2 linked regions of the Danio rerio genome follow. The protein of the gene in region 1 interacts with the protein of each later gene in a pairwise test. Links are inferred from orthologs where the notes say so. Each region holds a gene or a part of one and is shown on either strand. Other genes may lie near its edges. The genes, in order: vbp1 and pfdn4.

The links.
Region 2: the proteins of vbp1 (region 1) and pfdn4 interact in binary tests that used the Homo sapiens proteins (3 or more experiments, as listed by UniProt). The link is inferred for Danio rerio from reciprocal best matches to the Homo sapiens genes VBP1 and PFDN4.

What each region holds. Positions count from the first base shown.
Region 1 is NC_133182.1:23,873,336-23,875,901, reverse strand, and holds part of vbp1 (prefoldin subunit 3), read left to right. Parts: intron 1-1,717; coding exon 1,718-1,856; exon of another isoform or gene 1,857-2,213; intron 2,214-2,384; exon of another isoform or gene 2,385-2,566. UniProt on the Homo sapiens protein: Binds specifically to cytosolic chaperonin (c-CPN) and transfers target proteins to it. Binds to nascent polypeptide chain and promotes folding in an environment in which there are many competing pathways for nonnative proteins.
Region 2 is NC_133198.1:41,423,297-41,427,905, reverse strand, and holds the start of pfdn4 (prefoldin subunit 4), read left to right. Parts: upstream 1-1,717; 5' UTR 1,718-1,983; coding exon 1,984-2,010; exon of another isoform or gene 2,011-2,014; intron 2,015-3,973; coding exon 3,974-4,081; intron 4,082-4,156; coding exon 4,157-4,297; exon of another isoform or gene 4,298-4,609. UniProt on the Homo sapiens protein: Binds specifically to cytosolic chaperonin (c-CPN) and transfers target proteins to it. Binds to nascent polypeptide chain and promotes folding in an environment in which there are many competing pathways for nonnative proteins.

The sequences.
Region 1 (2,566 bases):
GCAGTGCGCCGCAGTCTTCCCTATACTGTACTGTAAAATAAAATAAATACAAAGATGATCTTTACCTCTTACCTGATGTCTTTAACAATACATTTTCAACGTGTTTGCAAAATGGAAATCGTATGACATCTTCCCTATCCACCTTACTCTGAGAAAAGAGTGAACTTGAGTAGGTAAACCTCAGTATTGTTGGGAAGGAGCCAAGGCAAAAAATAACATACAAATCAATTGAAATAAAAATATAAAAACCTCACAAAATTTCTCAACGTGGGCAAAAGTAATGCAAAATAATTTTGCCCAAACGAAAGTTAAGCAAAAACAACAAAAATCATAATCGTGTCAGAAAATGCACGAAAAACGAGATCAAAGGAAAAAGCGCTTTCTCTCCCGCTCTTCCCGACATGCTTTTTATATTCCCGCGCTTTGTCGCCAAATGATGATAGATCGGTCTCCTGACCAATCAGCTGTCATAAAGGCGGACCTACAGAAATAACCAGCATGGAGGGAGCAGGAGAGAGAAAACGGGAGGCAAAAATACAGCCGACTACAACTCTAACATTAGTTTCAGACACAACTGCAATGTATTTTACTGGTGAATATATCATGTAAAAACACTTTACAAACACATTTTATGTATATATTTTTTCATTAATTTAAACGGAAAGCTATCTATCTAACTGAAACCTTAGATAATCAAAAATGAGCATCATGTCTGTGTCTGCACAGAGATCAAGACTCTCACCTGAGAATGTGGATATTACTTTCACTAGTCTACACTGCAGTTATTTATTTAATTTTAGTTTACTTAGTTAAGATGGCTGCACTTAAGAGAATAGTTTTTTCTGACTAGTCTATATTGGAGGTGTTTAGTTAATTTTAGTTGTTTACTCTGGTATTCTGACTGTACTAAAAATGTGATGACAAACTTAATAATGAAAAAGTTAAGATGTTCTTGTTAGTAAGTGAATCTATTGTACCTTAGCATTGCTGTTAACATGACATCAACCCTAACTCCACAGCAAACAGAAACCGAACCGAACCGTACCAAACCAAACCGTGGCTTTAAAACCGTTAACCGAACCGTGCCTTTGGTGTATCATTACACCCCTAATTGTCAGGAGATTATTATTATAATTTTTTGTCCAGCTCATGAAATTTCAGCGATTTAGATTATTCCATTGGATAATGCATTATTACGATTAGGCAGTTTTAGCTCCATTTGAATTCTTTCATTCTTATAAACCGGTCACCAGACTGTATCCTTAACCAAGAATAACTTACCAGGATAATATACAATTTAAGAACTTTGGCTCCAAAATAACCACTGGGTTATTTCAAACACTGGGTGGTTAAAAAGTAGATAAAAGAAAAGCTTAATGTAATGTAATGTTTTTAAAAAAGCAGGTAAATGATGATGCTAAATGAAAATATTTTAATATTAATATTTTAACACATCAATAATCTAATATATACAAGAGCTGCCTGTTTTTGCATATATTAGATGTCATGGAAATCAAGCTTTCTAGTCAGTAAAAGTCAGGGAATTACATTAAACTTGATTACTTTTTTGCACTGTTGAACAAGGCACTCTACCTTTGGGACTGTCTGTTTAGTGAAATGTACACCCAGTTGCTTGGATATAATATTTTAACCCAGAATTGTTTAGCTTGACTTTGAAATCTTGTGTATAGCCATGGTTGGTGTTTTTGTGTGCTAGGCTAATGTCATGTTGGAGTATGACATTGATGCGGCCCAGGCGCTGTTGGAGAAAAACTTGGCCACAGCGTCCCGGAATCTGGACTCTCTGGAAGAGGATCTGGACTTCCTTAGAGATCAGTTCACAACCACTGAAGTCAGTATCCTTAAACTATTGCAAAAGGACAGATTCAGGTATTGTATTGTTATTTTTATGGTGATGTGCACCTTTCATTTGATCAGTCTTTCAATGACATAAATTGTTTAAAATAATACCTTTAAAATTATAACTTGTGAGATTAAGAGTCCCGATCCTACAACAGTTTGTCAAAGCTGTTTAAAAGTCTAGGTCGGAAATATATTTTAATTTTTTTAAAATAGAGCCTTATGGTAACAAATAAAATAAAATAATGGCAAAATAGTAATTTTTCTAAAAAATAAACCGTAAATAACAATTTCTTTGTTTTGATATATATAAAGAAATAATTAATCTAATACAATGTAAGACAATCTTCATTGTGATACGAAGGCTAAATGAAGATATTCTGCCTTATGACATTTGTATATATTTAGTGGTAACGCTTTTTTAAATGAGTTCTTTTTGAAACATTATTTTCTATTTAAAACGTTTTTTGTTTTTATTGTTGATGCTTTGGTAAATAAAATGTAAACATAAAATAAAAATTAAGTTGAACCATGGTGATATGCATAAAGGGTAAACTATTTGGAATTGACATTTTAAAGCAGTATTTGATTTGTAGGGGTCTGAGTTATAACATCTGCCTAGAAACCTCCCTGAAATGTTTTAAAGAAGTTCAATTAAGTCATTATTTAGATTAAATATGTTTATTTAGAGCAGGGGTGCTCAACC
Region 2 (4,609 bases), on another chromosome or scaffold:
TATTATATATATATATATATATATATATATATATATATATATATATATATATATATATATATATATATATATAACATTATAGCTAAAATAGACAATTTTCACCTAGATTTAAAAACAGGGATGAAACAGATCTGATACAGAGGGGCAGAGCATTCGACAACCTAGGACCAGCTATTGTGAAGGCACGGTCACCTCTGCATTTCAGCCTCTACTTAGGGATGCATAATAGTCTCTGATTAGATGACCGAAAGTAACATTTAAAGGCTTAACTAGGTTAATTAGGTTAACTAAGCAGGCTAGGGCAATTAGGCAAATGATGGCTAGGCTATTGTAAAATGATGGTTTGTTCTGTGTAGACTATCGGAAAAAATAACCAAAAGGGGATAATAATTGTATCCTTAAAATGGTGCTTAAAAACTTAAAACTGCTTTTATTCTAGTCAAAATAAAACAAATAAGACTTTCTCCAGAAGAAAAAATATTATCAGACATACTGTGAAAATTTCTTTGCTCTGTTAAACATCATTTGGAAAATAAAAAAAAAATAAAAATAAAAAAAAATCAAAGGGGGGCTAATAATTCTGATCTCAACTGTATAAAAATTTATTTGTTCTTAGACATGGATAAATCTAGATATAAAGGGACAAAAAAGTACATTTTAATTCAACCCATGATTTCTCATAATTCCTTTATAAATAGGCTATTAAATATTCCTCAATTGCATAGTTTGTTATTAAGTTGGCCGTGTACTGTTTAAAAATTTTGTGAGTTTAAGTTTCAAAAAATAACCTAGCCTTTAAAATTATAGTTATTTCAAATAAGAATTAGGATAATTATTTACTTTATAGCAGAGATGCAAAAACTAGGGAATGTGGGCCAAAGTTAGAACATGTTAAGCTTTGATTTGTCCCGTCATCCCATCTGAGAAGAGATGGAGAATGATGGGGATGGTTTTGAGGTTGTCAGTTTAAATTTAATGTAGCCCTTTGCTAGTTTTTATTGTTAAAAGCTAATTGAAATTAAGTGTTTCAATTAAATTGTGTAAATTAAATCAGATTTTGTTTAAATGTACACATTGTCATCTGATAATGTAGAGACTTAGGTGAGCAAATCAAGTCAAAGACTAGTGACTAGAGTATTCAGCATTGAACTTCTAAAGAGATTGTTAATTTTTATTGCAATAAATTATCAATTAAAATGTTATTCTGCATTAGTTAATAGGATTTAAAGTGATGTTTTCTATTTATTTTAAAATATTATAAAATGAATTAGGAAATTAATTATCCAAGTCAATTTAAATGTAATATAGTTTGGTATATTTGTTCATACATATTCATGGCGCGTGACGGTATTTGATTTTTGGCCCTTTATACGAAAAGTTTGGCCATCCATTGCTTTAGAGACAACTATTAGTTATTTTTGCTTTTAACTAAAAACTCGCTTCATTTAGATTTTTCTTCCAAGAAAAGCTTCTCAAAGACTTATTGCCAAGACAACGTTGTTTCTTAAGTAAACAGCTAACGTTATCTATATTAAACATACTTTAATGTTAATATTATATATTTAATAGAAAACGAAACAAAATAAGGAAAAAACGCATTTTACACTTCCATTTCCAATGTAAACACCCATATATATGATATAACATGCGAATTCGACATTTAAATCATCAAAAGTATGTTTGTGTGGGAGTAAATCTACGGTTGTCCAGAAGATGTCAGTAAGTGTTGCTAACTAAAATCCTCAAGTCTGTATGGCTGCAGCCCAAAATCCTTGCAACAGCGGATAATTTTAAGAAAACCGACTTCAAAACGCATTTAGTTAAGCCAGTAATTTAGATTCAAACATAAAACTTCATAATTTCTTTGTCAAACGTACCATATTTTCGAAGCAGCAACCGAAACACGCAACAAACACTCAAACATCCACGTGCTCCATTCAGACGCCGTTCAGGCGCGTGCACGCAGCTCGCTTCCCGTTCAAGATGGCAGCCACCATGAAGAAAGGAGTGGTATGTGTTCCCATTATCGGCTTTCTGTCTACATTCACGTTGTTTTGTTGCTCATCCCTGAGAAACGCGTTGGTGATGCTGAAATATCTAAAATATTAAACGAAAGAGACAGCTGAGGGAAACTGAGGACGGTTTATTGTTTATTTTCACCGGCTTGGATGGCTAACGTCATATTATTCGTGCCTGTCTGTTAATGAGTTTTATTGTAATTATTTACATTTACGTTCATCGTTCTGCACCAATCTATCTATCTATCTATCTATCTATCTATCTATCTATCTATCTATCTATCTATCTATCTATCTATCTATCTATCTATCTATCTATCTATCTATCTACATTTAAATTTAGGTGGTTTTAAATCACATAATTGTATTGTCATTCTTAAATATTTCTTATAGATTGACCAGATTAACAACTTGTATATTGGGTTGTTTATTTTGTTCTTTTATATAGAGTTTAGTTTACATAAAAAAGCTTTTTTTAAATGTATAAAATGCTAAGCAAACTTATATTTGTGTAAATCACATCGAGTCTAAACCACAAAGAGTCAAGATGACAGGATTCAAATCAAAGATTTATGATTTGCTTAGCATTTATATTGTAAAATTTTAAAAGTAAATCTAAAGATACAAAGAAATGCAAATAATATGCATATTTAGCAAGGCATATTTTTTGACAGAGCTTACCGAACATCCAAAACAATGCTGAGTGTTTGTGTGTGTCCATGTGATGGTAACTTCATAATTTGAGAGCTTGTGAAACGCTTATAAAAATGTGTAAAGGAGTCAAAACAATGACATGAATTCCTATTTAAATGAAGATTTCTGATGCCTGTGTTGGTTAACATAGCAACTACATTTTTGAAAAGCATTTTTGAGTATCCTGTCATTTTTAATGTTCGCATCTTTATAAAGCACATTTAAAAACAACCAAGGTGGACCCAAGGGCTGTACATAGGAGTACTAAACACAGAGACGAAATCAGAATATAAAAGAAGCATTTAGAAAATAAAACAATAAAACATTGATCAAGGAGTATTAAAGCGAGAGAAAATAGGTGTTCAAAACAGACTTAAACACAGAAATAGAGGGGGAAAGTCTAATGTGAATTGGTGGGGTGTTCCAGAGTTTAGAACCAGCAACTGCAAATGTTCAATCACCTTGTTTTTTAAGGCATGTTCTGGTTACGTAAGTTAATTGAGATCATAAGATCTCAATGATCGAGAGGAGGTATACGGATGGAGCAAGTCTGTAAGGTACTGAGGAGCAAGACTATTGACAGCTTTGTAAACAAATAATAAAATTTTAAAATCAATTCTGTATTTAATGGGTAACTAGTGAAGTGCAGCTAAAATCGGAGTTACCGACTCATACTTGCGGGTGCCAGAGATTAGTCTAGCAGCTGCATTTTGTACCAGCTGCAGACAAGAGAGAGAAGACTGAGAAATACCAAAATAGAGTGAGTTACAGTAATCCAGTGTTATGAAGGCATGGATCATTGTTTGAAAATTTCTCTGAGATAATAATGGCTTCATTTTAGACAGTTGTTAAGGTGGTAAAATCAGGTTTTTACGACAGGACTGATCTCTTTTTAATTCTTAAATTTTCTTTAATTTAAAATTTTCATCAAACATAACACCGAGACTTCTTGCACACTGGGTAATATGTGGGGCCAAAGATCGTACATTGACATTTAACAGAGATTTTACTACGTCATCATGCAATAACACCAGAATTAATTTAAATTAAATCAAACCATAATAAGTAATGCACAATGTTTAATCAAAACTACTGCTTGAATCATAACTTGAGTTTACTTCTATTTTTAAAATATATTTATTATCTGTTTTTTGTCCTGTCTCTCTCATTCTGTTGCACTGTAAAAGCTTCTGTCACGAAAATAAACTCCTCGCATGTATGAACATACCTGGCAATAAAGCTCTGATTCTGATTCTGAACAGGCAGCAGAGGATGTCAATGTAACATTTGAGGACCAGCAAAAGATAAACAAGTTTGCCAGGAACACAAATCGGATGTCTGAACTGAAAGATGAAATCGAGGCCAAAAAGGTAATATTGTGATGCTTTTGATTTATACAGGATATAAGCTGCATTTTACTGACGCATAATCTTTATTGTGCGTAGAAATCTTTACAGAACTTAGAGGATGCCAGTGATGACCTCATGATGTGTGAGGATGATTCGATGCTGATCCCGTATCAGATTGGAGACGTGTTTATCAGTCACTCGCAAGAAGAGACGCAGGAGATGCTGGAGGCAGCAAAGGTGACTTTATTTTTTTTACACACTTTATAGGGCACTCAATACAATATACAGGAAAAACTGTGGAATGTCATTGTGGGCCATTACAAAAATTTAAAACGCTTTTGACTTGAAAAAAAAAGTTGCAAATCTAGGTCAAAAAAGTTACAATAAATTGTTAGGTTTAAACACAGGCGCTTTGTTTACATTCGTTAAAATGCGTTAGTACGATTATAAGTGGACAATGGTAAATACAGATGTAAACAGAGCTTGAGCTTGTTCACTTTTGAGCACCTTCAGAGTTAGAGGAAAACATTCGATTGGATTACTTTTATA